Elephas maximus indicus: one gene and its partners. The protein of the gene in region 3 purifies or fractionates together with the protein of the main gene of each other region. This does not show direct contact. Links are inferred from orthologs where the notes say so. Each region holds a gene or a part of one and is shown on either strand. Other genes may lie near its edges. The genes, in order: UBXN7, EZH2, CUL4B and COPS8.

Region 1 (7,517 bases), on a different chromosome or scaffold from region 3:
GATGTCAGCCCAAGTTAGTGTTAATGGGATACTATCATGATTCAAAATATTTTTTTAAATTGTTCTTTTGAAATTCCTTTCAGATTCAGCAGCATATTCTTTCATGTTTTGAGAACTGATAAGACTTCTAAAAGTAGCCAACAGTCATTCAAAGTCATGTGTGATGAATATCAAGGGCTATCAAACCAAGTAATATTGTAAAATGGGGTATGACTAAAAAGAACTTATTTTATGTAGCTTTAAACAGCTCTGAAGGCATCAGTGGTGGTGGTACACAGCGTCTTAACATGATTACTTCAAAGAACATCACTTCCTTGGCTACCTGCTTGTCAGAGAGCGCAATCATAGAAAAATGCGTACGGTGTAACGTTAAGTGAAAAATTTAGAATTCTAAATTATGTACAGTACAATCTATAATGCAAAAAATAAGTATGTAAACGAGAATTGGAAGAGACCATAATAAAATAAATAATATTGATGTAAGAGTGGAAAATTAGTTTTTTTCCCTTTTTCCAAACTATTTCATGTTTGTCATCTTTTTAATAATTAAAAAATTTTAAAAATCAGATTCATTCCTTCATACACACGTACTATAGAGAAATTTGTTTTATTTAGTAAGAAATAAGATTTACTAAGAAATCTTTCAATTTTCTATTTCTAAATGCCATTGAATTAGTTGCTTGTATCAGAATGTTGAGCTTCTAGGTAAGTAAACCTTTTCAAAATCAGAGCATAAGCTCTTAAAAAAAAAAAATTTTTTTTAAGGTCAGCCTAATTCACCCAGCAATGCATAAAAAACAACTACCTTCTTATCATAAACACTACTGTTTACAATATATGTGAAGATAACCCCCAAATTTATTTTTTAGATACATGAAAAGGGGTGGAGGGATCAATCAGGTGTTTCTAATGGTAATCATAACCTCGTTGAAAGAATCTAAAAAAATTATTAATAACAATTCACAATAGATTAGGAACAATCTAAGGTATTTCTGCTTTTGCAGAATTCTAGATACCATTGTCTACTGAGAGAATCCAACCTGATTCAGAAATAGAAACGCCTGTGACCAGGAAACAGGCAGTATAGACTAGCAAACAGAGACAGAATAAAGGCAGTTCAGTGAGTCAGTTCACCTCATCACACTTCAGATTTTGTCTATATCTAACAAAAATGTTCATTACAAGAGATAATGTGAAGTTAAAGCAATAAGTGTTCCTGAGTCCATTTATTTAATTTCAGTTTCTCTGCAGAAAAAACTGAAATTAAATAAGTGTCATATTAAACTACCTCTAATAAACCTAAAAAAAGGATTATTAATGATACTCTATAACCGATTCACTACAAAGATTTTCCTATATAAACATAATGCAGTACATGTTAACTTATACACATAATTTTCCCCACAAAAGTGGCTTCGGGAGGTAATGGCATTACACCTTTAGTATATTTTAAATTATGAATATGAAAATTATCACTCCATTCCCCACTCCGATTTTATTACAAATTTTACTTTACCAACTTTGACCCACTGCTGCATGCGCAGGAGCTAGATAACAATGCATCAAACATCTAGTTACCGTTGCAGAGTTAAAAAAAAAAATAAAAGGAGCTTTAATTATCCAACGATAACTAGCATACAACCTGTATTGGGTAAAACAATGTAAAATTTTCCTTAGCCAGATCTTGCACGACAAACTCTGAGAAACATTAACAGTGAAAGGATCGTCCGCATTTAACAAAGCATCAGAGAGAGGATCTGCTAGGCGAGAGAACTAACATTCTGACCTCTTTCCAAAATGACAAACTAGAGCTGCAAAATTACACCCCGGCACATGGAGTACTCTCCTCTCAAATCACTCCACAGAGAACTTCATCATTTGCTCCGCCCTCTAATAACTCATGCAAAAAAAGTTCAGCACCATCAGAGAGAAACCAAGACCCAGGGAATACAGAGAATGGCTTAGGGCCTTTCCCCCAGGCGGTGAGAGGATCTGCGTGTGCCCTTCGCAGGGGTCCAAAAAAAGAAAAACCCAGGCCTAGGGTCTGAGGGATACCGACAGCCAGAGAGAGATTTCCTCTCGGCGAAGTTTCTGCCGCCATCCCTATGTGAGCAGCGGGAGGCCCCGGCGCCATCGCCTCGGTCTTTGGGGTTTTATTATAGGGAGGTGGGAAACGCCAGCCAGGATTCCTCCAGGCCTTCACAATTAAGCTTGTGGAGGGGATCCCCTCATTTTACTCTTAAAACCCCAGTTCCTAAGGTGCTTCTCAGCCGCCCCCTTCCTGGCGGCCGATCTCCCCGGATCCGTGAAGGCGCTGCCGAAGCCACTAGCCTCGCCGTGAAGGCGGGAGGGCCCGAACCAGCCAGGGCCACAGCGATGGCTCCGAGGGGCCCAGCCAGGGGAAGGGCAGGCCAGGGACGGGGGAGAATGACCCGGCCGGGGAGCCGGGAAAGAGGAGCTGAGGGGACGCACTCCGCCCCCGAGCTGGCCAGAGAAGAGAGGAAGATGATGGAGGAGGAGGAGGGCGGTGGCCCGGGTGCGGCCCCCCACTCCTTCCGCCCCCAGGCCCCCGGGCCGGCGGGGACGGATGGGCTCGGCCCACTCGCCGGGACCGGGCTGGCAGGGGTGAAGGGTCCCCCTCCACACTGCGAGGAGACCACGAGCGAGAATGTGGGCAGCGGGGGGGCCGCCTCCCGCCTGAACCCGGAGACCCCGACGCCGTCGTCGCCTCTTCCTCAGGAGGGAGGACGGGAGCTTTGAGTAAAGCCCGAGGGAGGAATGCATGAAGGCAGAAGAAAGCCCGGGGCAGACCCGCCGCCCGCCCCGGACCCCGCTCTGCACCTTCCGGTAACCGCGTCTCTTACCGGTGATGGCGGTGAACTGCTGAATTAACCCCTTCAGCGCCGAGGACGCGGCGGAGCCCCCGTGGGCAGCCATCTTACCGCCGCCGCCGCTGCCGCCGAACAACAACACAGACACACACGGACCGCCCTCCCCCACCTCGCAGCGCCGTTTGCGCAGGCTCATTGACCATCCCCATGCTCCGCCCCTCCCGGCCCGCTGAGCGGTGAGCGCAGGCGCACTTCCCGACCGGTCCGGGAGCGCTCTCTCTGCTCTCCGGATTGGCTGCTCGGTTGCTGTCTGCTCGCCGCATCCTTCTTGCAGCCTCTGGTGCCTCCCTCTCCAAACTCCAAGGCCAGCCTGGTAGACACGGTATGAGCTCCTGCTTTCCAGAGGAAGATTCGGACTCGCCAGGTAGCAGGTTCCTCGCGATTCAACTTGACAAGCTTTAGTGACAGACCCAACTACCGGTGACAGGGTTTTTTGTTGTTGTTTTTTTTCTTTTTTGCAGCTCCACAACCCCTCTGCTAGGTTTGCTGAAGCTCCCACCAAAATCCAAATCCTATATCATCAACACTGAAGCCACTCGTACAGGTTCTCCAACGTCTAAACTAATTGCTTTCCCTAACCTAGTGCAGCGACCCTATCCAGCAAAATACCAGAACCTTTCATGCCAAGATAGCATGGTGCAGGATTTGACACGTAGTAGGGGTTTTTAAAAAATAATATTTTATTGTGTTTTAGGTGAAAGTTTACAGCAAAGTAGGTTCCCATTTAACAATTTTTATACAGATTGTTTCCTGACATTGGTTACACAATGTGTCACTATTCTCGTCATTTCCATTCTGTTTGTTCTGTTTCCACTAAATCTAGCTTCCCTGCCCCTCCTTATCTTCTCATCCTTGCTTTAGGGTAAATGTTGACCGTTTGATCTCAGGTAGTTGATTATTTAAGGGATCACAGTACTCACAGGTGATATTGTTTATTTTATAAGCCTATCTTTTATGTGGAAGTAGCTTCAGTTCCAAGTTCAAAGCATATCTTAGGGAGATAGTCTCAGAGGTTTCTCTAGTCTTTCTTGGTCCAGCAAGTCTGGTGTTTTTTTTTTAGAAATTTGAGTTTTGTTCCACATTTTTCTGCCAACCCACCTGGGATCTTCTATTGTGTCCCTGGTAATAATGGTTGTGGTAGCCAAGCACCATGTAGTTCTGGTCTCAGGCTAGATGAGACCATGGTTCATGTGGGCTAGTTGCTTCTTTGAGTCCTTGGTTTCCTTCATTGTATTTTGTTCCAAAGAAGTAGAGACCAGTTCATAGTAGGGTATTAATAAATGATTTTTCCGTTGGCTTTCCTTCAATAAATTTGTCTACACATTTTTCCCCTCAGGGTCCCACTTAGTTTCCTCATCTGTAAAATAAGGGGGTATCGTTTCTGTAAAAAGAAAATGTATAGGTGTATATACAGCTGAGAGAAAAGAAAATGTATAGAAATGGCACTGCAAAGATGTCCTGAAAACACTGATAATAGTTACCTCTAGAAAGGGGAGCGAGAGGGACAGTGTTGAAAAGGGACTTTGAGTTTATTTTGTATCTTTTATTTTTAAACAAAAAAGAATATTTGTATGTTACTTGTATACTTCTAAATGTTTTTAAATAGAATTATATGAGTGAGGTGCACTCGGATGTAATGACATCCCACCTAGAGAATAAGGTTAAAGAGCCTCAGTTTAGGTTCTAGCCTTTCCCCTCCCCCATCCAAATATCTTGCATCTTCACAAGAAAATGGCTCAATAAAAGATAGAATGAGTCATCTGGAGAATTCTAAGAAACAGTATGTAAATGTATGCTTGGGGAGAACTGAGAAAGAACCATGTCAAATCAAGGTTAATTATAGGATTGTAGTTTCAGAAAGACAGGATTGGTATAAAAGAAGGTAGATTCCTAATCAAGAATACTCTTGAGCAAAGAAAGGATGTGGGGCATTCTGACAGGCCACACAGACCTGAGAGCAAAACACCTAGAAATGCCACCCAAATCATAACAAGCATTTGTTTAAGTGGGTAGCTTAGATCTCAGAAAAATACAGGAAATCTCCAGTGGCCAAAAATGAAGAGGGAACAAAATCATTGTGCAATAAGTTTGAGATAATGTTGGGGCTAGAGAGCAGAAAGAGGGGGAGGTTGTATGTCTGATTGAATGGGTTTAAAGGTCACTCGGCAGCAAGACTTGAGGCCTTGTGCCTTCACGAAGTGGGCTAGTTAAACTGAAACTCCCCCTCCCCTTAAAGCTGAAACCTTTGAAGAACTACTTGCTCAATAATAACATAAAAGTTCAGACAAGAAAAAATACACCCTCAGCACTGGGAAGGTACAATAAGCTTGTCTCTCTGCCTCTGGATTCCTGCAGGTGAGCTGTAGCTAAAAGTATCAACTCTAAGAATTCCTAACCACAGGCCTGTCCTGAGATGGTTTGGAATTCAAATTTTAATTCCTGCAGGGGCCAGGAACTACCCAAGTTGAAAAATTAGTAGAAAGTGATCCAAGGCTGATAATAACCCCAGGGCAACTGGCAATAGATGATAGAAAATATCTTACAAAAGAATAGCAATTAGTTTGATACAAAATTCTGAAGAGAAGAGCAAAAAATAATGGGATATTATACTTAAACTGCTGAGAAAAAAATAAGGATGGAACTAGAATTCTGTTCACAGTAAATGATTCCTCAAGAGTAAAGATGAAGAAGGCAGAACCAAGATGGCGGACCAGTCAGATACACTAAGCCATCCAGCTGCAATAAAGACCTGAAAAAGCAAAACGGATTGAGACGGTCAATCCTGGAACCCTGAACCTTAAGTGAAGGGATACAATAATGAAGGATAAAACAAAACTAAAAGATTTAAAACGGGAAACTTGTTGTTAGGTGCCATCGAGTCGATTCCAACTCATAGTGACCCTATGTACCACAGAACGAAACACTGCCTGGTCCTGCACTATGCTCACAATGGTTGTTCTGCTTGAGCCCATTGTTACAGCCACTGTGTCAATCCATGTTTTCGGCTGACCTTGTACTTTACCAAGCATAATGTCCTTTTCCAGGGACTGATGCCTCCTGACTACATGTCCAAAGTGTATAAGACACAGTCTCACCATCCCTGCTTCTAAGGAGCATTCTCGTTGTGCTTCTTACAAGACAGATTTGTTCCTTCTTCTGGCAGTCCATGATATATTCAGTATTCTTTTCCAGCACCACAATTCAAAGGCATCAATTCTTCTTCAGTTTTCCTTATTCATCATCCAGCTTTCGCATGCATGTGATGCGATTGAAAATACCATGGCTTGAGTCAGGCACAACTTAGTCTTCAAGGTAACATCTTTGCTTTTCAACACTTTAAAGATGTCTTTTGCAGCAGACGTGCCCAATGCAACGTGTCTCTTGATTTCTTCACTGCTGCTTCCATGGCTGTGGATTGTGGATCCGAGTGAAATGAAATCCTTGACAACTTCATTCTTTTCTCCATTTATCATGATGTTGCTTATTGGTCCAGTTGTGAGGATGTTTGTTTTCTTTATGTTGAGGTGTAATCCATACTGAAGGCTGTGATCTTTGATCATCTTCAAGAAGTGCTTCAAGTCCTCTTCACTTTCAGCAAGAAAGGTTGTGTCATCTGCATATCAAAGGTTGTTAATAAGTCTTCCTCCTGTTGTGTTGCCCCATTCTTCATATAGTCCAGCTTCTCGGATTATATGCTTAACATTCAGATTGAATAGGTGTGGTGAAAGGATACAATCCTAACGCACACCTTTCCTGACTTTACCACAAAGTATCCCCTTGTTCTATCCAAACAACTGCCTCTTGATCTAGGTACAGGATCCTCATGAGCACAATTAAGTGCCCTGGAATTCCCATTCTTTGCAATGTTATCTATAATTCATTATGATCCACACAGTCAAATGCTTTTGCATAGTCAATAAAACACAGGTAAACATCCTTCTGGTATTCTCTGCCTTCAGCCAGGATCCATCTGACATCAGGAATGATATCCCTGGTTCCACGTCCTCTTCTGAATCTTGCCGGAATTGCTGGCAGTTCCCTGTCAATATACTGCTGCAGCCACTTTTGAATGATCTTCAGCAAAATTTTGCTTGCATGTAATATTAGTGATGTTGGATAATTTCTGCATTCGGATCGATCACCTTCTTGGGAATAGACATAGATATGGATCTCTTCCAGTCAGTTGGCCAGGTAGCTGTCTTCCAAATTTCTTAGTATAGATGAGTGAGTGCTTCCAGTGCCGCATCCATTTGTTGAAACATCTCAATTGATATTCCATCAATTCCTGGAGCCTTATTTTTTGCCAGTGCCTTCAGTGCAGCTTGGACTTCTTCCATCAGTACCATTGGTTCCTGATCATATACTACCTTTTGAAATGGTTGGACATCGACCAATTCTTTTTGGTATAATGACTCTGTGTATTCCTTTCATCTTCTTTTGATGCTTCCTGCATCATTCAATATTTTCCCCATAGAATCCTTCACTATTGCAACTTGAGGCTTGAATTTTTTCTTCAGTTCTTTCAGCTTGAGAAATCTGAGCATGTTCTTCTCTTTTGGTTTTCTATCTCCTGCTCTTTGCACATGTCATTATAATACTTTGTCTTCTCGGGCTGCCCTTTGGAAT
Region 2 (7,354 bases), on a different chromosome or scaffold from region 3:
TCATGAGCACAGTTAAGTGTTCTGGAATTCCAATTTTCTGCCGTGTTATCCATAATTTGTTATGATCCACACAGTCTAATGCCTTTGCATAGTCAATTTTTATATACTAATAAATGGAGCTCTGGTGGTGCAGTGATTCCGTGGCCAACTGCTAAGTGAAAGGTTGGCAATTTGACCGTGGCTCCTCTGGAGAAAAGACCTGGCGGCCTACTCCCGTAAAGATTACAGCCTAGGAGACCCTAAGGAAGTCCTATGGGCTCACTGTGAGTCGAAATGGACTTGGTGGCACACAACAACAGATACTAAGGAAATAATTGTGACATAGTTTTAGGACCAGAGCACTGAAAACTTGGGCGATCTCTTTAGCAGCAAGTCATAAATTAAGTGTCCCCCTCTCCCAGCAAAACAAAACTCTTTAGAGTTGCGAGCATCTATATAAAAAAAATTTTTTTTTTTTTAATTAAGTGAAGCTTGCATGGCTGTATACTCTGTGTATCACCCAGTGAACTCTGCTGTCATTGGCTTATAAAATTTGTATTTACATCCATACTAGATTGTTGATTAAAGTTAGAAAGCTTGAGAAACTTTGATAATGGAAAAAAGTAAATGAGGAGTATAAAAAAGATCCTGCAAATTTTTTCAAGATGATCTTTATCCGTTAATTGTATTATATGAGCTAAATTAATAGATGGCGTATCAACCTGTCTTCAGTAAATTTTTAAGTGTTGAAAAGACAAAACATCATGACCTATTCATTTTAGTGTCTTAATTTTTAATACTAAAGACCATCTTTACGTATGTTACTCGCTGAGGAATGCTTATAAGCAAAACAAAGATTTAAGAAAATAAGACGATTGATTTTTGCTAAACATTGAATTTCAAACATCATTAAAGCCACCCTTGTGTGTTTTTGATCCAGTAGCACATAGTGAAATTCTCTATGTTCTATCTGCAGATACATGAGTATCTTCAGTGTGTTTACAAGTAATAGCCAGTTACTGAGAACCTTCCCTGTGCCTAGTATGTGTACAGTCTCCAAACCAAGCATTTTACTTTTGAATTTTGAAAATCATGCATTTTAATTATTTAAAAGGAAACACCATGTATCATTTGTTAAATGGGAAAAGTAGAATCCATCTTCATGGATTTTATAAAAGATTCTGTTAAGAGGAACTTAATTTTGAAGTATGCTGACCTGTCATATATTGGGTGGAAAAAATTGCAGCGTGAGTGTCCCTGTTCATCAATTCTGATCTACAGTACTTCAGTATTCAAATTATTTAATCAGTGTAAGCAGAATTGGCAAAATTTAATTTTAAAGCCCCAAGTTGGAATCGTCTTGATGACTACTAACAACAGCAGTGGTATTGTATGTTACCATAAAAAGTACTTATGGGTTAGAAAAGGTTGGAAATGCCTTCTAGAGTGAATTAGGGACTTGTAGTTTTTTTTTGTAGATGGCAGAAATGTTGCTCGAACAGGCTGGAAAAGATAAGTTGTGGCCCCTCCTTAGTAATTTTGCCTGTTTGGAGAATATTTGTTTGCTTGAAATAGAGCTCAAGTTATGCTACAAAGAATGTGTATTTTGACTCCCCGAGTGGTGTAAACGGTTAACGTGCTTGGCTGTTAACCAGAAGGTTGGAGGTCTGAGTCCACCCAGAGGTCCTTTGGAAGAAAGATCTGGGGATCTACTTCTGAAAAATCAACCATTGAAAACCCTGTGGGCACAGTTCTATTTTCAGACACATGAGGTGTCCATGAGTTGGGGTCAACTTGATGGCAACTGGTTTTGGTGTAAAGGAAACCAGCATTTTAGTTAGGAGAGGATATTGAAATCATATTGCTTAAATTTTGTTGGGTTTGGATTTGACCTTCTTTAGCTGTCTGTTCAATTGAGAGTGAAGTTAGTGCTATTAGACTAGTTAGGAAGGATGAGCGGTACTTGTAGTTATCACTTGGTTTTCTTTGGACAAGTAGGAACAACTGGAATGTTACCTTGGTTTAGCAAATCCTTTTTAGGAGTAAAGGGCCTTTAAGAAAGGTAGCCAAGGGCACTGAAGTGCCGGCTAGGGGACAGTTTTTGGTTTCTTGGCCTTTAGCAACTGAGTGAAGGACAGGGAGTCTTCCTAGGTAAGGCTTCTCCTAGGTAGACCAGAGCTGGACTCAGCTGGACTCAGGGCAGGTGCAGCCTGGTCATCTGAGAGGTAGAGAGGCTTGTCTCCTAGTGGGGAGTAAGTCAGCCCTGCATCACTAGTCTTCAAGAATGTCGCTGGTGAAGAGGAAACCTGCTGCCAGGACCTGCTGCTGCAGGGCATGAAATCTCAGCCCTGGATGTCCCTTAGCCAGAAGCCCCTGCACTTCAGGTGGTAGAAAGCCTGACCCAGACTGGTTTAGACAAACAAAGGTAGTTTGTTGACTATTGTAACTGAAGGAATGGGGAGGTGACTTGGCAGGGCTGGCCTGGCTCAGGGCGTGCACAGTGTGCCTGCGGTGGTTTCTTTCTTTCTCTTTTTCTGTTGTTGACTCTGCTCTTTGCAGACTCTCCTTCTGTGGTTACAAGATGCCCCCAGCAGTTCCTTGGGCTGCATGTTTCCATGTTCAAATCTAGTAGAGACCATTCCTAAGAGTCCTTGTGATGGACCTATCACTGTCTCCAGGGAGATGGTGTCCTTGGTCAGCTGAGTCGCCTCCTCAGATGTTCCTGACCCTTGGAGGATAGCTGTGTGAGTCCCTGATGAGGGGTGAGTTGAAGCAAACACTCTTGTGTTTACTTTTATGGGCAGTGAGGTTAAAGGGCCTGCCCGTGTGGGTGATCTTTCTGAGATTGGTTTGATTCATAAAACAGGCTGGACTTTGTGGTCTCTCCTGAGTTTTATTTAACCTGTAGAACAGCAGTCATGGAAGGCTGTACTGTATTCTGTGAAGGGTTTGATCGTCCCTGGCCATAGTCTGGTTTGGCTTTTGAATTTTCACTCACAGGTAGAGTCTCGTTCCAATCACTGGAGTTATGATTTGTTTTGAATGAGGAAGCTGTTTTCATATCCTGGATAATGTCATTTCACCTATGAAACTAGAACATCTTTCCAACGAGAAATTAAAGACAGAACAAAACAAAAAACTGGTTGTATCCACAAGTCCCCATCCACGTAGTAGCCAGTGTTTAAATAAATGTTGCCTTTGCCGCTACATCATATTTGGAGCTTTAATCCTCGAGCACAGAAATGGAGTCAGAAGGCCCACTTGAGCCCAGCTCTGCCCTGTCGTGGGAGGACCTGCTGTGGGCCAGCTGAAGGGCCAGGTATGTGTGTGTGTGGCTCTCATTTGGTGTATCTGACAAGCCTTGAGGGTAGGTGGTGCTATCCCTGTTTTTGGATGAGGACTTTGAGGAAATACCAGCTTTCTTATCAAATGTAAATCCCAGAGGTGCCAGGATTTGTGCTCGAGTTGTATTCATCGGTAAGGGTAGGTGAGGCCACAGGGCCCATATTCCGTCCCTGAGATTCACGGGACATTTCTGCCTCAAGTGCGGGCAGGCAGCCTCCCTTCCATACCTGGGCCCAGTGGGAGACAAGCCTGCAAGTCATCCATTTCAGTGTTTTTTGTTTTTATTTGTCTTTAAGTCTACTGTTTGCCAGGCACGTAGCCAGGCTCAGGGGTTTTACAAGTGAATAAAAACGATTCTTCTATTGAGGAACTTAAGAGTGGGAGCCGACCCGCTGACAAACGGGAAAGCTAGACATTCATAGACAGACATAGAGTGCTGTGAAGGCGGGTGGGCGTTTGTTTTCTGTAAAACATCCTTCTCAGTGGTGCCTTAAATTTTCTCATCTTTTCAAGGATCTGCCTACCTATCCCCATACTTTGAAAGAACAGTCTGAACACTTAGATTTATTTCTTAGCTTGTAATTCAGAGGTCACGATCCTTACATTTTGATAGTTTCTCCTGAATGAACTAGCATATATGTGTGTGTATATGTGTGTGTGTGTATAGTGTGTGTATATATATGCATGTATGTGTGTGTATATAATGTGTGTATATATATATATTGTGTACGTCTATATATGTGTGTGTATATAGTATGCGTATATGTATATAGTGTGTGCGTATATATTGTGTGTATGTGTGTGTGTATGTGTGTGTACGTGTATATATGTGTGTGTGTGTATATAGTGTGTGCATATATAGTGTGTATGTGTGTGTATGTATGTAGTGTGTGTATATAGTGTGTGTGTATATATGTGTGTATGTGTGTGTATGTATAGTGTGTGTGTGTATATAGTGTGTGTGTGTGCGCACGTGTATATATATTTATCCCCCCCCGCCCCCCCCCCCCCCCCACTTTGCAGTTACCAGACCATCCTGTAGGTTAAAGTCTTAACCTATGTACTTCTTTGGAAGAGTGTTGAGAAATTTATAAGCATAGAACTTATGGTATATGCCCTCCTTTTTTCCCTAAATGTTATTTATTTTGTTATTGAGAATATACACAGCAACGTGTATGCCCTGTTACAGAGATGTTTGTTCTGGAGTCAGTTCTGAAGTGTCGTGTCGACCTGGCATCCTGTCTGGCTCAGGTGGCATCTTCGGTAAGAGGGGAGAATCTTGTCATGGCAAGCTTTATTAGAGACCTTGCTTGGAAGGAGGGCAGCAGTGCTCAAACAATACAGTGCTGTCTCTTCACCAGGGCATAAAATGTGCGTCTTAAAAGGCATGTTGCCGCAGTACCCACGCCACAGTGCATTAACTGAGCACCACAGTCCTGCAGGTTTTATGGCGCAGGGGCGCCAGCTCCAAGGACCAGGAAGTGGCCAAGGCAGCAGGTAGACTAGTTGTCATGATCCAGTGGGCTCTCATTTTTAGCTGATTCCTTTCCCTTCTAGTTTCTAGGCCTTTGGAGTGCTGAAAGGTCTGAAAAATTTTGCGTAGAAATACTTACGCTCATCTGTTAACTAAGCTAGCATGTATGAAAGCAAACACGTCACTGAACTATTGACGTGTTTCTTCCTAACTGACGTCTTTTTGTCCTGCTTCACCTTCCCTTGCTAACCTCATTTTCTGCTTGAGTTAGTCTTCTCCGTTCTAACAACCCACAGATTTGCCCAGCCAGCCCCCTCAGGAAGGCCGTCCTTGGGGCCTGTGACCTTCTTCAGCCCTCATTGTCGCCCCTGCCCATCCTCAGAGCTGTCTCCTCCTCTTTCCCCCACCCTTGCTCCTGTTGACAGTGTCTTCCGGCCAGCTCCCTGCCTTCACCTGCCCCACGCCCAGCTTTCTCGAGCTCATGCCTTTGTTGTTAGTTGCCTTGAGTTACCCGTGACTCATGGTGACGTTGTGTATAATAAGGAAATGTTGCCCATTTTTGTACCATCTTCATGATTGTTGGTATGTTTGAGTCCATTGTTGGTGGCTGTTGTGTATCAGTCCATCTCACTGAAGGTTTCCCTCATTTTATGGACCCTCTATTTTATCAAATATGATGTCCTTTTCTAGTGATTGGTCTTTCCTGATGACCATCCTCGCTTCTAAGGAGCATTCTGGCTGTATTTCTTCTAAGATGGGTTTATTTATCCGACAGTCCACAGTATATTCAGTATTCTTTGGCAAAACAACAGTTCAAATGCATCAGTTCTTCTTCTGTCTTCCTTTCTCATTGTCCAGCTTTCACATGCACAGGAGGTGATTGAAAAAGACCATAGAGTCCCTCATACCTCAGAGAAATCCAGCTCATCTTTAAGGCTCCCTTGTCCTGTCTGCCTGCAGTCCTTCTCAAGTGCGCATCCTTCTTCCCCACTCTTCCTAACTCTGACCTTATAGGTACTTTTGTGTCTGGAGCGCGTACCAGACTGCATTTGCTTCTTTATGCCTTCTTGGCTAGAGTGTAAACTCTGTAAGGGCAAGGTGTGTCTCATTCACCTTTGTACACCTGTTACCTGCTTCATAATAGTCATTTATTACATGCTCGAGAAAATGCCATTCTTTGTCTCCCTTTCTTTCAGCTCTGAATAAACCACCTTCTGCTTTTGCATCACCATGTGGTTGTGGATGGAGTATTGTAGAAGTTACCACTGGCCTCAGGACCCTTTTTCTTCCTCTGAAGCTTCTCCTCAGGCAGTGCCGTATGCCTGAGGGTGTTATGTGCAGAGGTGCATGCATCCCTGGTTAGTTATTCCATCCAGAAAGCTACTTCCTCTCTCACTTTCCATTTTAAATCATCACGACGTCCTGGTGACGTTATCTCCTAAGTAACCCCTGGACTCATTCATTCTTCTCTCACTGCAGTCTCTGGCCTAGAGACCTCTGCCAGCAGCTCCCCATAGCTGCTCTCTCCCTGGCTCCTGCCCTGCAGCCAGCAGCTGCTCCATGTGTACCCCACCCTCTCAGTGCTGGATGACACTGGAGCAGAGGTCCTTGGTGTGCCTATAATAAAGCTCTGCCGGGAACTGCCCATCTCATCTCAACATGTCATGTGACCTCTGTGCTTTTGGAGGAAATGTGATAGAAAAGGATGTGACTTGGACCTAAGTGGGCTCCAAGGGTGCTGGGACCCCAGGAAGTGGGGCCCACCTGGGAGCGAGCCGAGGGCCACACCTCAGGGTTTGTTGCATCTCTCGGCCACTCTGCTGGCGGGAGCCCCTTGTAGAGGAAGGGGCTCAGGTGGGGAGTGCTGGGATGCAAGCTTGCTGTGTGCTGCACGGGTGGGTTTCCACCCACAGTGACTGGACCTATCACCACTTCTTTCTGTTGACCCCTCTGACTAGTCAGTTCTGCCTTCTGTAACAGCCAGTTTAGTGACAAGAACTTAGAATGTGCTCAGGCATTTCTTTCCCACAGAAACAAGGCTCTCAGAGAGTAAGAACTGTGGAGGCAGTGCCCTCTGGTTCCTGTCATGCTGTCACACCCTGGAAGGCAGCTGGTTTTGTGGGATATCTTCAAGGTGTAACTGCAGAGTGTCTTGCAAACATGGGTGGTATGGTGTGTGGTCATTGATTGTCACTGCTGGGATTACAGCCTCAGCAGTCAGCCTAGGCTGGCCAGATGAGTGATTTTATCATGAAACCGTTGCTTCTGCAGTGATCATGGGCCAGACCGGGAAGAAGTCTGAGAAGGGGCCTGTGTGCTGGCGGAAGCGCGTAAAGTCCGAGTACATGCGGCTGCGGCAGCTCAAGCGGTTCCGGCGGGCGGATGAGGTCAAGGTGAGATTGGCTCCCGTGAGGGGCACACACCCACCCTGGGTGGCTTTTCCCTAAAGTCAAGTAAGCTTTAATTTGAATGGCACATTCCCACCAGAGTCCTGTTCACAGCAGGGTCCCTTGAGCTGTCACAGTTAACTCCGCAGTGTCCCCTGCACATCGGTGC
Region 3 (7,719 bases):
CATCTTTTCCTTCAGAATCTTCTGCATTTTCTGCAAACACTCCAGCATATTTCAGGCAGACTGCTAGCTGCTTATCTTCAGATAGCTTCCAAATCATCCCTCCCTGTTCAGGACACTTCTCAGGGATACCGAGAAGGCTGTTTAGTCTTTTCATGGATCCTATGCTTAAGACAATTCCTCCTTCCACACTCACATATTCAAGGTCTCCAGATTTTATAGTGTGGCCTAGGTAGAAGGGCTGTGATGGATCCTTTTTTAACAAAAAATACTTTAAGTTTTCAATAATGGCAAACGTAGTGGGGCGTGCAAGGAAGAACCAGTTGTATTGGTCTTTATATTTATCAAAAGCATATTCGTAAGCTTTTCTCATCATTATCCACATGTCATCTGTTTCCATATTAATTGATTCAAACACTTTAACATTTTCAGAACTGAAGAACTCTGCTTTGTCACAGTGTTTGGTCCAAGTCTCCTTCACTGCAGCCCAAAGACTCACATCTTTGGGTTTTACAAGGATGATACAGTACACCCGAAAGCTCTTACTGAGCTCCATGCGTTCATCATCTGAAATTTTCAAGATATCTTCTTTGTTAGGAGCTTGTAGGTGATGATGCTCATGGTGGTGCATTCTATTTTCATGACCAATCCTAACGTGGCCTAGCATAGTGATCAAGGCACAGAAAATGCTTCCGAGCATCATACCCTTCAAAAATGAACTGCTTTCAGAAAGCATTTTTCCTATAAAGAAGAAAAAGATCCTTAAAATATTTAAAGGAAAAAGATTAGTCATTTGATTTGGTATTCCTTATATACTTACATTTTGCTCTGAACATTAAAAAGGTTCCCAAGTTTGAAATCCAGTTAGTTGTACATAGTACCAATGACCCTAGGAATCTTTAGCTTCCAGTGGCATCTGATTACTGTTTGATGTAAACTGGAACTTTGAAGCAACTCCTCTATGGAGTACAATCTGCTGTGAGAAGGCTCTTTTTTTTTTTTGTACTTCATCTGTGGGGATTTAATTGTCCAAGTACTAAATCAAAGCATTAACTCTAGAAACCAATGTCACAGAAGTTGTCCGTTCATCGTTCTCTTTAAAGGAATTTCGTTTCACAAGCTTGCATTATGTTATTCAAATACCTTTGCAGATATAAATGGACCTTCACACCAAAACCTTAAGTCTAACAGATAAAGCCACCTACAAGTGGCAAATCACCAATGGTATCTGTGTTGACATTTCTATTCCCAGCCTAGTACTTTATTTAACTGATGGCTGCTGACCTTAGGTGTTTGGAGTACATCTAAATCAAGTATCTTGAGATTGATAGCATATATGCTAATATTTACACTTTTGTTCCTAAAACTAAATGGTTTCCAATACTGTACCTAATACGTATCTCAACTAACTGGTGTATTAAAAGCTTATGATGGGAATAGTTAAATTATTTCGATGAGAACTAAATCAATACAGACATATCTGGGGACCATTAACAAACATTTTATTTCCTGAAAAGGCATTTTCTTCTTCCAGTAAAAAAGGGAAACTCTACACTTTTACTTCAACTGGAAAAAGCCAAACCAAACCAAACCTGTTGCCATCGAGTTGATTCCAACGCATGGCGACCCTAGACGACAGAGTAGAACTGCCCCCATAGGATTTCCAAGGAATGCCTGGTAGATTTGAACTGCCTTTTGGGTAGCTCTTAACCACTACACCACCAGGGTTTCCAACTGAAAAAGCCAACATTAAATACAACCAGCATTTATGCTTGTAAAGGCTAGTATTTTCCCAATCACCCCTTCATCTTCACAAAGAATGTTTTATTGAGCTACTCAGGTTTTCTCTTTGTCTCTTAAAGTTCAAAGGGGCACTAGAAGCTATCTAATGCCTTTTATCTCATTTTACAAATAGGGAAACTAAGGTCCAGAGAGGTTAAGCAACTGACCCAAAGTCACGAAGTTAATGGTAGAAGTGGAACTAGACACCAGATCTCCTGACATCACTTTAATATTTTTCTCATTACATATCAATTTCTACGGTGCTTCTACCCATAGTATTGAGACTTTAACAAATGAATCACTTGTTTTCCTACAGACCAAAAAAAAATATGTGTATATATACATATGGGGATCTGTTAACCATAATTGACATTTTACACCCAACATCATCATACTAAGAACTGGGGTGGGGGGAGAAGCAGGATGGTTGCACTGTATCACTCAAGGCACTTGATCAATAAACAGCTCCAAGAAGGAAAAGAGAACAGGAAACAAGCTTTGCTTAATTAGAACTGTCAGGGGTGCTCTAAAATTAACGTATATAGGAATGTGGCATTTCACATTACACAATTTTCATTATTTCTGGCCAATATATTTCACATGTGTCTCTCAGCTCCATAATGGCAAATAACGTCAGAATTCTGCCTGATGGGTTATTACTCATGGCTGCAAAAATATTGAACAAACTCAAGAAGTCAGCAATTTTTAAATAAAACCATTCACACAAATTATTCTAAGGAGTAGACTTCTTTTTTTTTTTCCAATCAAGGCAGGCCAAAAAATGTAACACTGGAAACGCACATGATAGGATATTTGAAGAAGAGAGGGAAACTTAAAACAAACACAAATGAAGCACTATCATAGTGGTTGGGATGAATCTTTTTAGAAGGTGAAGGTGCTGGGGTGGAGTATCAAAAAGGGAGGAGGACGAAAGGGGAGAAGAGAAGTAAGGAGTAGGATACGGTCACCTCAAAACTCTCCATCTCCCCCACTGACTATTCCTCCAACAGCACCTGCCTTGGCGTCCCGCGTGGAGCATGCTGGGAGTGAGCAAGGGCTCAGGCCCTCCTCAGGGAAGAGGCAGGGTCAGAACATTCCGGGGTCCGCGGGGGTGGGGGCCGAGACCCCGGCACTCACCGGTGTCTACAACGCCTCAGGGGTGGGAAAGCGCAGCCGCGCACAGCTTTCCTCTCAGGTCCGCGCGCCACTTGGTAACGCTCCCAGTCAGGCTGCTCTAGCTGCAGGCGGAGTCCTCTCGTTGGTTTCACTAAAGGTGGGGAGGACCAAGAAGCGGAGGCCACGAAGGCGAAGACAGCGGGGCGGGGCAAACGGGCCCTCGGCCCGGCTGAACCGCCCGCCCGCCCGCTCGCTCAGACCTCAGAAGGGCCCGCGCCTACGCCGCGCGCCTCTTTCTCTCAGTGCGCACGCAGCGCGCCTCTTTCTCCCCGCCCACCGCACGCTCTCCTGTACCCAATGGGACGCCTAGAGAGGCGTGCGTGCATCGGACCCGCCGACACCTCCCACCTCTTCTTCTTCCCGATGTGAAAACCGAGGGTGTTGTAGACTCTGGTTCCTGGCGGCCGTACGTGGGATGTCTCAGTGGTTTCTGTAAGGTAGCTCTGCATCATTGCACCCTTATATTGGCAAAGAGGTATTCCACCCGAGTACTTTTGGACTGGGGCCCAAATGTCAGCCACTAAAATCATTGAATTATGAGGGTAAGAATTCGCTATGGTTACTGGGCTGGGATCCGAAGCAACGCTGCCTGGAATCCAATCCTATCTTCACCACTAGCTTTGATGTCCTCGGAAATTTACTTCACCTCTCAACGCTTCAGTGCCCTCTTTTCTAAAATACAGAAAATATCACAGTAATGCCTATCTTGTAGAAGATTAAATGAGACAGTGCATGTGACTCCCTTAGCAAAACACCAACCATAGAGTAAGAGTTCAACAAATGTTGGCTGTTATTATTGTTCACTCCTCAACAATAAATATATAGTGGAATTAAATGAGTTAGAGCTACAGATGAGGAACCAGGCCCAGAAAGGATAAGAAACCTAATATAGGTCACATAGCTAGGTAGAGGCAGAGGTGGAACTAGAATCCAGGTCTCCTAATTACAAGTGCAGAACTCCTTCCACTAAATATATGGTCTATCATAAAATTCTTTTTGTGGCAGAGAGGGGTTTTTGCTAAAAAGCACAAATCCCTAGAAATATTTTAAATGTCACTATGTTTCCTTCAAATAGCATTAACTGAATGATTTCTCTATATTAGATACTGCTGTGGTGACTTCAGCTAGCGTTTCCAAAAACACATCTATCTTAGATGTTTTTGGGTCTATTAGCAATGACTATTCAGTCACAAAAAAATAGGCTCTGGGCAATTATCATGGCGGTGCTACCTTAAATTCTGGGGCTATGGTGGTAAACAAAATAAGTCCCCTGTAAAATATAGAACTGTCCGTCTAGCAGGGAAGAATGACATTAAACAATTTATTACAAATAATTGTAATAGTGATATATTCTCTGTTGTTGTTAGTTGCCGTTTTTTATTTATTGTGCTCTAAGTGAAAGTTTACAGTTCAAGTTAATTTCTCATACAAAAATTTATACACACATTGTTCTGTGACCCTAGTTGCTCTCCCTGTAATGTGACATGTCAGCTGCCTTTGACTCAGCCCCTGACTCTAAGGAATACAAAAGATGAATTTTTGAACTGGAAAGGAATTTAATACTGCAGAATATCTCTGTTATATTTTCTTGATTGATATATAGTCATTTTTAGATTGTCACAAATATAAATATATGTGTATACACGCACATATATATATAGTTAAGTGAAACAAGTTGCAGAATAATGTGTATAGTATGATTATACTTTGGTAACAACAAACAAATTTTTATATACATGCACATATGCTTGGTTTGTTTGAATGAGCAAGAGAGTATAGAACTATACCCAGCAGTATTGATCACATCCGGAGGTTGAGGTGAGTATGGTTAACTCTGTCATTATCCATCTTTGTATTGCATTGTTTCACTGCTTCTAACGAGCATTTATTACTTTTGAATTTGAAAAGCAGCAAATAAAGGAATTAAAAAAAATTAAAGCAACAAAGAGGAAAAGATACCAATACCTTTTTAAAGAGAATAGAGAACTAGTTTTCCTTGCAAAAAAGGACCAAGGAAGGACAGATAGAAATTTCACTCAGATTTCAGAGACAATTATAAGGAGGCAATTTAAAACATTTCTTTTTTCTAGTACAGGAAGGTATACCAAACTGGAAGTACTGATACACAGTGCTCTGAAACAGAACAAACCATAAGATTTTCAACACCAGAAACACTGCTAATGAGAAATTGTTTAAGAACCCAGTTCTCTATTTAAAGCAGAATTTAAGTATACTTAACATTTGAAATGAAGTTAGAGATGATTGACTTTAGTTAGGTGATTTCATTTTTTAGACCTTTACATATTATAACCTTAATAAGTCATGCAATTAGTATCTACTAAAAATAAGAATGTTTACACTCAGCATATAAGTGGGCCCAGCAAACCCACTTCTAGTAATCGCTCCCACAGAAATTAAAACATCAGAATGTAAGGCTGAATATATAAGGAAAAATGCATTATTGTTTATAATAGCAAAAGTGGGAAACATTCATCAATAAGGAAATGGTTGAATTAATTATGGTACAGCCATATAATGGAATATTAAACATTTAAAAACAAGATAGCTTATTTCACTAACCTGCACTAAACTTCACTAAACACACTAACCTGCACCTGTTATGGGGGTTTGCATTTGAATTTGGTTGCCTTCATGTACATAGCAGGCAAGGCAAGACTGCATTCAAAGCCGAAAACACTGCCTTTTTGGAAAAGCATTTCTGCCAATTCCATGCATTATGCAGCGTAGAGGTCATTAATTTCTAGTAATTGGAGATTCACTTGCGTGTAAGCACTCAAATTTTCAAAATTTGCCCTCAGGCCTTTGGGAAATTGACGTGACTTTCTGCAACAGTTCACTGGAATAATATTGAAGAAAATCTAAGGTGGATTGTTTTCTGCATAACATCTTTTTGGAGGGTTAAAAATATCTTCTGTGAATGAAGTACCTCTGTGTAACTCTTCTGCCCAGAGTTTCTCAACTGTTCATGTGCAATAAACAAATTCCCTGGTCTGAGCAAATTCATTATTGTTTCAGCTTGAGGATAGTTTGGTCTCTAAATGAATCTCAGTTTGTGTTTTCAGGCATATTCATGCTTGGAATCTTATGTCAAAAATATTTTTCTACTTAAAAATATCTGAGAGTTTTTTTTTTTTTAAATGAACAAACCCATTTGCCCTCCAACAAAATGTTTACAGTATGTCATATCAGGCACTGTACTAGGTATTGTTTCTTTTAAAAACTTTTTTATTATGGAGAATTTCAAACTTACACAGAAGTAGAGAGAAAAGTATAATGAAATCACATGTACTTTTCACGAACCTTGAACAATCATCACCTCAAAGCCAATCTTGTCACATCTATACGTCTTCCACTTCCCTTTCTTCTAGATTATTGTAAAGCTCCTTCTGTCGTAAACATGTCAATATGGATCTCTAAGAGATAAGAATTTCTAAAAATCCACAATACCACTATCATATCTGAAAATTAATAATTCCTTAATTAATCAAATATCTAGAGTGTTCAAATTACCAACAATATCACAATTTTTTTATAGTCTAAATCAGACTCCAAATAAAATCTCTACAATGTGATTGGTTTTTGTGTCTCTTACGTCTCTTTTTAGTCTAGGTTCTCTCTTACTTTCTTTTCTTCTCTTGACATTTCTTTGTTGAAGCAATCTGATTGTTCTTGTAGATTTACCCACAGTCTGGTGCTGATTACCTCATCCTGGTTCTTTTAATATGTTTCTCTGTCCTTTGTATTCCCTGTGGACTGGTAGTTTGCCACATTTAGTAAATAAAAATACAGGATACCCAGTTAAAATTAAATTTGAGATAAACAAGGAATAATTTTTAGTATAAATATGTCCCGGATGTATTGCATGAGACATACTAACTATTGCATGTGACATGCTTATGCTAAAAAATTATTCCTTGTTTATCTGAAATTCAGATTGAACTGGATGTCCTGTATTTTATATGGCAACCCTAACCCTAATCAAAAGGCTTGGTTAGAATCAGGTTCATTTCTTTTCCGGGAAAAACTGCTTCATAGGTGGTTCTGTGTGCTTCCCTCAGGAGCCACATACTGTCTGGTTGTCTCTCCCTGTGATGCTCGCTGCCACTGATGGCCAGTGCCTGTGGTATTAATTCATCAGGGTTGCAATATGTGGTCTTGTAATTTTTAAGGCATTTTTTTTTTTTTTTACTGTGGTAGCAGTGTACATATAGGTCCCTGGGTGGTACTAATGGTTTGCTCTTGGCTACTAACGGCTGCTAACCAAAGGGTCAGCAGTTCGAATCTGCCAGGCGCTCCTTGGAAACTCTATGGAGCAGTTCTACTCTGTCCTATAAGGGTCGCTATGAGTCAAAATTGACTCGACAGCACTGGGTTTGGTTTTTTTTTTTTTTACTAACTGAAAGGTTGGTGGTTCAAATCCACCCAGTGGCTCTGGGGAAGAAAAGCCTGGTGATCTGCTTCGGTAAGATTAAATCCAACCTACTGCCGTTGAGTCGATTCTGACCCATAGTGACCCTATTTGACAGAGTAGAACTGCCCCGTAGGGTTTCCAAGGAGTGCCTGGTGGATTTGAACTGCTGACTTTTTGGTTAGCAGCTGAGCTCTTAACCACTACACCACCAGGGCTCCTGCAACCATTATGGAGACATATTTTTAAGAGGAAGTTTAGTGTAGTGATTAAGAGTTTAGGCTCTGGCGTAAGACAAACTTGGTTTTGAGCTCTGACTCTGCCACTTTTGAGCT
Region 4 (7,641 bases), on a different chromosome or scaffold from region 3:
AAGACAGAACCATTGCCCAAATAAGGCATTCCAACATAAAGATAAGCAAATCCGCACACCATCAAGGCTCTAGCATTTCCTGACAATGTGTGTGGGACCCAAAGCAATCACCTCATCATGGCCCTGCTGACCAGTGGCACAGAGCCTCCAAACTCTGCCAGGATGGGAGTTTATAAGGGTTTGAAAACCTGAACAACAGCAAACATATGATGATGGAATTATAAAAAATTAAGCAGAGAACTTACACAAACTGTAATAAGACTCTTGGTATTTAATTTTCAAAAAGGTATGGAAATAAAAAGATTTGGAAGAATTTAAACCAGAAACGTATCAGTAATTCTCTATGGGGTGTAAAACGATCAGAGACTCCTCTTTGTCTGCACAGCTGTGCTCTCTGGTTTTTCTTCAATGAACATGGATAATTAAAACACAAAACTCTGAAGAAATCTCATATGCTTTGCTAATAAATTCTTCTTAGCTTTCTCAAACAATTCTCCCTTTCAGCTCCTCTTGGACTATCGATTAAATGTGAGGTTACATCAACAAATGTCATTAGAAAGTTAAAAAAAAAAGGTCAATAGATGTTAAGGAATAACTGCACATAGACTTGACTAACACTGTAGTCTCTCGTAACAAACTGAAATATTTTTATAAGGTACCTGATAAACAAATGTAAATAAAAATAACTCAGCCTAATCAGAATTCATTAAGTTATGCTTCAAGGTAAAACAGGTGTATGCAGTGTTACGGTAAAAGATACAGCTCGCTGTGTCCATGACTTAGTGTGCTGCTTCAAGGCGAGGGTGATTCTGTCTAACTTTGGGGACACTGCTGCTGTTGGCTTTAGGTAGAAGGCACGTACATGTCGTTATAGAGCAGATACAAGGCCAGAAGCTGACCGTACACTGGGGCTGTGGCAATTCCTCCAGGAGCCTACAAAGCCAAAAGGGAAAGAGAAAAACCTTATTTATTCTTACCTCTTATTTAAAAAAAAAAAAAAAGCATTTTTTTAAATACAATGCATGTTTTATAGCCCTATTACATATATAAAAACAGCTTACAAAAGTATCAAACACTAAAACCATTGAACGAAGCTTAGCTCTGTCATCAGTTGTGACTTATCTCCCTCTGAGCCTTAATTTCTTCACATGATAATCTAATTGGGGTCTCTTTCCAAGTTTTCAAATTCTAATTTAAACGACTTTACTATTATAAGACACAAACATTCTGAACCAATTCCTAAAGCACTATGACTCTACCCATTATATCAAATATGTCGAACAGTCAACCAAAAAAAAACAAACCTATTGTCATGGAGTCGATTCTGACCCATAGCCACTCTGTAGGGCAGAGTAGAACTCCCCCATAGGGTTTCCAAGGAGCAGCTGGTGGATTCGAACTGACAACCTTTTGGTTAGCGGCCAAATGCTTCAACCACTAAGCCACCAGGGTCCACATGTTGAACAGTTAAGTACCGGTAAATGAGTGGGGAATAGAAAAACATCATGGCTGAGGTACAAAAACATTTCTTTCCCCATTTAACTTCAGGAAACATTTATTAAGCGTTTTTTATCAGTGAGCTAGAGCTACTTGGTCTCACTGTTCTCTCCTTTAATTAATTAACTATTTATAATAATGTCATGCATTTAAATGTCTAACTCAAAAAAGTCTAAACTATTAACTTCAACAGCATAATAAAACTTTCATTTGTCTTAACTAAAGACAAAACAGCAAATTTACTTGGTAGGAGTATTATGAGAATAAGACCGGCTTTCTGAGTCAAGGAAAGGTCCCACCTTTCTTGGTCTGTTTGTATATACATGGGCACATGCCTGCACAAGTGTCTTTAATAAAACCCACGTTTCCCCTCCCCCGGCCAATGACAAAGAAAGCAGCGTGTCTCGTCTAATTAATATAAAAAGCATACTGGTGGGTGTTAGGAGCAAAGACGCATATATTTGTTTTGTTTTTTCTCTCACAAGCTGAAGTTATTTGTCTTCAAACTTCAGCTTGTAAGAGAAAAAACAAAACAAGCTGAAGACAAATAACAAGTTAAACAGCAACAAAAAAGCCTTGTATAAGAAATACTACCCTACGCTTTGAAAAGCAGAAAAATTGGAACGAATTCTAAAAAGTATGTTTACTGTCCCCGCACCTGGGTGCACGTCGCAAATCGTTAACAAAGTACTGTTAACACAAGCAATGTAAAGGTCTTATCTGGGTACAAATGAACCAAAAATTGATTATAATATGGAAAAACCCAAATCTCAAACCCGTCGGCGTCGAGTAGATTCCGACTCATAGCGACCCTGCAGGACAGAGCAGAACTGCCTCATAGGGTTTCCAAGGGGCAGCTGGCGGATTCGAAGTGTCCACCTTTTGGTTAGCAGTCAAGCTCTTAACCAAAAAGGGCCAAAATTAAACTAAAGGAAAAAAAAAAAAGTCAAAATACACTGTATCAGACCAACTTAAGTCCCCAACATGGAGTCGGGGGACAGGAGAATTTCCACGCCTAGTAAGCCCAACCCGGGTCACACGAGAAAGGTGGCCCGCGCGGAGGGCGAGGCGTGATGACAGGTGGCCGGACAGCCCTGGTGCGGGGGCAGAATGGGGCTGCGACCGCGGTCCAGGCCGCGCTTCCCTCCAGGAGGCCGGGCCCGAGGGCTTCCAGGCGGAGCCGGCCGCAGCCGCCCGGGCTCCCCGCGCCCAGCTCCCGCGCCCGTCCCCTGCCGGCCGCCGTAGGGCCCGTTACCCCGGAGACCCCGCGGCTTCTCCCGGCCCGAGCCGAGCCCTACCTCGAGCTCCTGGTTCTCGCACTGATCCAGCAGCTTCTTGAAACTGAAGGCACTTTCCGCCATCACCGCCACTGGCATCTTCCCCGCCGCTCCCGCCGCCTCACCTCCCCGAAAACCAGACCCCAGACTGTCCCTACGGGTGTCGCGCCGGCGATGACGTAAAAAGCCTCGGCCGCCGACGAGCGCCCGTAGGTACTGGCAGGCGCGCCTGAGGTTTCCGTGCGTCCTCAGACGTCTCTGCGTCGGCTCGGGGGCGGGGGCAGGGGTCGTGGCCGCTCTGGCCCGCCTCTCTATGCTCTGGAGGACCGGTCGGTCCTCGCCGGAAGTCGGCGTCAGGAGTCAAGGCCAAGTCCGGGAAGGGCGGCGTTTTGTGCCTGCGGGAGGACTCCTTTTGAAGACAACCCATACGCGGAAAATAATAAACAGAAATTCCTCTAGAGGCACAGTAAAACGTTTATGTATAATAAGAAAAGAATGAGCCCTGCCGTACTGGTCGATGCCCTGCCTAGCGTTCTGGACAACGCCCTGCGCTTAGTAGGTGCTCAAGTTATGTTTGTATGTCTCAGGTTTGTGTTTTCAACCGCCTACTTGATACGTCGGCTTTGAGGCCTAATAGGCACGCAGACTTAGGTTCAAACCCTACCTCAGTCTGTTTCCCAAGCCCGCTTTTTCGCAGCCCTTCCCTCTTAGTAAAGGGCCTCACCATCCTCCAACCTGGCTCCCCTCTGCGCACCCCGCATTCGAGACTCAGGGAATCCCCGCTCTTCGCCTTCAGAATACATACAGAACCAGAACCTTTTCCAACTCGGACCCCTGAAATAGGCCAGCTACCACCCCTGTCTGCCTCCAGCCTGTTCTCTACACAGCAGCCAAAATGACTTTTATGAAACATAAATTAATTCTTGTTATTCCTCTTTTCAAAGCCCTAAAATCCAAAGGCTTTTCCATTGCTTACAAAGCTTACATGATCCAAATCCCAGCTGCTCTCTGACTCTGCTCCAGGCCTTGGGCTCCTTGGTTCTCTGCATGATACTGACTGCTGCCAAACAGTATGTTATAAATGTGTTTATTCGCTACTAAACCACAGGCGCCCCCAGGGCTAAGGCTTTGCTTTGTTCCCAGATGGCTTCACTAGTGAATTCTACCAAACATTTAAAGAAGGATTTATGCCAATTCTTCACAAACTCTTCCAAAAATTAGAAGAAGAAACACTTTACACTCATCTTATGAGGCTAGTATTACCCTAATACCAAAACCAGACAAAGTCATCACAAGGAAAGAAAACCACAGACTAAAATTGAAACCCCAAGTCGCCGTGGCTTCCTCCACTCCACTGAGGCACTCCCCCAACCTTCGTCTGCTGTCCTTGCAAACCACAGCTTCTAACTGCAGTTTGCTCCAAGCCCACAGCCCTACAAACCTTGGCTTCTAACCTTAGTTTGTTGGGGTCAAATCTTTGTACGTGCGCAGGTCAAGATCTTGGCACATGCGCAGATCAAGAGAATTCTGTACCTGACCCCAGGCCTGAGCATCACCAGAGGGGAAGATATTCTCCAGCACCCAGTGCCACCCGAGCTACTTTGGAAAGCGAGAAGTCCCCCAACTTGAACTTCCTGTGAAGAGTGACTCAGCATGACTCAGCACCCAGATCCCCAGGGATCTGAGGACATAAAAGCTCCCCAATCCTTACCTTGCTCCTTGTCTGCGCAGACAATAAATTTGCCACTTCCTATTTCCCTTGCAATTGGTGTCTGTCTTATTTTTGTGTTTTTTCAAAATCTCTTATGAATATAGATACAATTGTCCTCCACAAAATACAGGCAACCTCATCCGGCAATATACAAAATCGATTACATGCTATGGCCAAGTAGGATTTAGCCCAGAAATGTAAGGTGAGTTTAACATTCAAAAAACAATTAATATAATACGCCATATCAATAGAAAAAGGTACCAAATCCATAGATTCAGAAAAAGTGTGTGACAAAATCCAACACCCCTTCATGATAAAAATACTCAACAAACTAGGCATAGAAGGGAATTTCCTCAATGTGATGAAGGACATCTGTGAGAAACCCACACCTACAGCATATTTAATAGTAAAAGGTTGAATCCTGTGAAGCAATGAATCCCCTTACAGAGAGAAATTTGACCTTTGTCCTCAGTTCCTGAGAAATAACTGAAATTTCCTGAGTAATTACAGTACCTTTTGTTATTTGGGAGCCCTGGTGGCAGAGTGGTTAAGCACTCGGCTGCTAACCAAAAAAGGTCTGCAGTTTGAATCCACCAGTTGCTCCTTGGAAACCCTATGGGGCAGCTCTACCCTGTCCTATAGGGTTGCTATGAGTCTGAATTGACTCAACAGCAATGGGTTTGTTACTTAAGCTTAAGGACTATACCAGAGGATTTATGCTAATGAGTGGGGGGCTGGCCAAGCTAGAAGGACCACATCATGACCTGAAATCAGCTGACCTCAGGGAGATAAGGGAACATGATTCAATCACGCATATGCAATGAGGCTCTTACCATGAATATGAATATGAATATGAATATGCAATGAGGCCCCTATCATGCATATGTAATGAAACAAATAAAGGCTCTGGACACAGAGGCTTCAGGAGCTTCCTGGTTGGTGAAAGGCATGGATACACATGGGAGGGTAGTGAGCTTCTTGGGGGGTATGGAAACTCTTCATTGAGAATACCCCTGGACCTTGCCCTGTACATCTCTTCACTATGCTGATTTGTATTCTTTTTGCTACAATAAGCCTGTAACCGTAAGTATAGTATTTTCTGAGCTCTATGAATTGTTCCAGTGAATTATCAAACCCAAAGGAACAGTGGGAGCCAGCAAGTGAAAGTTAGGAAGTCCAGGGGAGGCCCCCAAACTTGGACTGACATTCTGAATGAATAGTGGGAAATACCCAAGTTTGTAGCCAGCAGGTTAGAAGTAAGGGTGTCATGTGGACTCCCAGGCTTGTGGCTGGCATCTGCCTATTTGGCAGTCTGAAGGATGGTGTCCTTTTAAGTTGTGAGATCTGACCTAGCTGGGGGTGGCTAGGGTCAGAACGAGAAAGTGCCGTGTGGGCAGAGGTTGTCAGAGATAATTGAGAAATGGGAAAGTGGGCATTTGAGTAATCTTCACATTTTGAGGATTGAATTTATGTAAATTTTTATCTGTGAAAATGCTTTTCTCCCAAAATCAAGAGGAAGACAAAGATGTCCACTGTCACCACTTCTATTTAGCACTTCACTAGAAGTTCTATTCAGGGCATTTTGGGTTTGAGGGTGTTAATGTGGCCAAGAACAAGATGATAGATTGCTCAGGTACTTCCATCGGACCACTGGCTGAGAGGGACATTTGTGTCCTTGACGGGTGAAATATCAGTTTGAGCTCTTGGGCAAGGCACCCCTGTGGGCGGCCCTGTGGTAGATGTTGCCATTTCATTAAGCAAGGTAGCAATACACAATGAAAACCATGACATAGTCTTAGCCTTGGACTTAGTGTACTGCCCTTGGGAAGCTATCCTAATGAAATAATTACTGAAGAGGGAATGAACTGCAGCTAAAACGTGGTGCAAAATCATAAAGTACAATAGCTAAACCACTGAATGACCTAATAGGTGCATGGTTAAACATGCCATGTCTGTGTCTTAGTCTCCTAGGACTGCCATAACAAAATACCACAAGTGGGTGGCTTTGAAGAACAGAAATTTATTGTCTCACAGTTCTGCAGGCTAGAAGTCCAAGTCAGCGTCTCTTCCATGTTGATTCCTCCTGAGGACTATGAGAGCGGAGCAGCCGCATGCCGCTCCCCTTGTTTCTGGTGGTGAGAATCCTGGGAGCTCCTTTGCTGCTTCTATGTGCATCTGCTTCCATCAGCTTACGCTGTGTCTTCACCCCAGGTATGTCTCTGTGTCTAAAACTGCTCCTCTTCTATGAGATGCCTCTGAGAAGGGTTTGGGATTAGGGCCCACCCTACGCCTGTATAACTTCGTTAATTTTTATGAATGTATCAATAAATACGGGAAGTGAATAAAGAAGTGAAAACTGTTGTAAGGTTTTTATGGTTAAGGTTATGTGTCACCTTGGCTAGGCCATGATTCTCAGTGGTATGGCAGATATAACGCAATCACTGTCCATGATGTGATCTGTTGTGAGCAGCCAATCAGTTGAAAAGGCAGTTTCCTTGGGGGTGTGGCCTGCAGCCAATATATATGGATGTTACAGCAAAGCTTGCTCTCTCTTGATCCTACATTAAACTGTCATAGTCTAACCTCTGATTCTTGGGATGTGAACCAGCAGCCTGCTGTCTGACCTGCCAATTTTGGGTTCATCAGACCCTACAAATGTATGACTCAGGAAAAATCTCCAGCCTGAGAGCTGACCCACAGAATTTGGGTCTTGCCAGCCTCCATAATTACATGACCCAAATAAATCTCTCTCTCTCTGTGTATATATATATGATATGCAGATGACACAACCTTGCTTGCTGAAAATGAAGAGGACTTAAAAGACTTACAGGTGAATACCAAAGACTAAAGCCTTCAGTATGGACTACACCTCAACATAAAGATGAGAAAACTCCTCACTGCTGGACCAATAAGCAACAGCATGATAATGGACAAAATATTGAAGTTGTCAAGGATTTCATTTGACTTGAATCTACAATACCAACAACACCCATGGAAGCAGCAGTCAAGAAATCAAATGACATATTGCATCGCACAAATCTGCTGCAAAATGCCCCTTTACAGTGTTAAAAAGCAAAGATGTCACTTTGAAGACTAAGATGTCCCTGACCCAAGGCATGATATTTTCAGTCACCTCACATTCATGTGAAAGCTGGA

The links.
Region 1: the proteins of CUL4B (region 3) and UBXN7 purify together in Homo sapiens (affinity purification with mass spectrometry; 3 studies listed by BioGRID and IntAct, with this or other methods). This does not show direct contact. The link is inferred for Elephas maximus indicus from reciprocal best matches to the Homo sapiens genes CUL4B and UBXN7.
Region 2: the proteins of CUL4B (region 3) and EZH2 purify together in Homo sapiens (affinity purification with mass spectrometry; 4 studies listed by BioGRID and IntAct, with this or other methods). This does not show direct contact. The link is inferred for Elephas maximus indicus from reciprocal best matches to the Homo sapiens genes CUL4B and EZH2.
Region 4: the proteins of CUL4B (region 3) and COPS8 purify together in Homo sapiens (affinity purification with mass spectrometry; 7 studies listed by BioGRID and IntAct, counting the BioPlex papers as one, with this or other methods). This does not show direct contact. The link is inferred for Elephas maximus indicus from reciprocal best matches to the Homo sapiens genes CUL4B and COPS8.

What each region holds. Positions count from the first base shown.
Region 1 is NC_064819.1:17,997,062-18,004,578, forward strand, and holds the start of UBXN7 (UBX domain-containing protein 7), read right to left. Parts: upstream 3,008-7,517; 5' UTR 2,938-3,007; coding exon 2,865-2,937; intron 1-2,864. UniProt on the Homo sapiens protein: Ubiquitin-binding adapter that links a subset of NEDD8-associated cullin ring ligases (CRLs) to the segregase VCP/p97, to regulate turnover of their ubiquitination substrates.
Region 2 is NC_064826.1:1,338,100-1,345,453, forward strand, and holds the start of EZH2 (histone-lysine N-methyltransferase EZH2), read left to right. Parts: upstream 1-4,344; 5' UTR 4,345-4,457; coding exon 4,458-4,587; intron 4,588-7,069; coding exon 7,070-7,191; intron 7,192-7,354. UniProt on the Homo sapiens protein: Polycomb group (PcG) protein. Catalytic subunit of the PRC2/EED-EZH2 complex, which methylates 'Lys-9' (H3K9me) and 'Lys-27' (H3K27me) of histone H3, leading to transcriptional repression of the affected target gene.
Region 3 is NC_064846.1:35,958,913-35,966,631, reverse strand, and holds the start of CUL4B (cullin-4B), read right to left. Parts: upstream 3,005-7,719; 5' UTR 2,917-3,004; intron 759-2,916; exon of another isoform or gene 734-758; coding exon of another isoform or gene 1-733. Other genes in the region: C1GALT1C1 (C1GALT1-specific chaperone 1), read right to left, coding at 1-733.
Region 4 is NC_064824.1:139,246,726-139,254,366, reverse strand, and holds the start of COPS8 (COP9 signalosome complex subunit 8), read right to left. Parts: upstream 3,013-7,641; 5' UTR 2,874-3,012; coding exon 2,796-2,873; intron 934-2,795; coding exon 863-933; intron 1-862. UniProt on the Homo sapiens protein: Component of the COP9 signalosome complex (CSN), a complex involved in various cellular and developmental processes.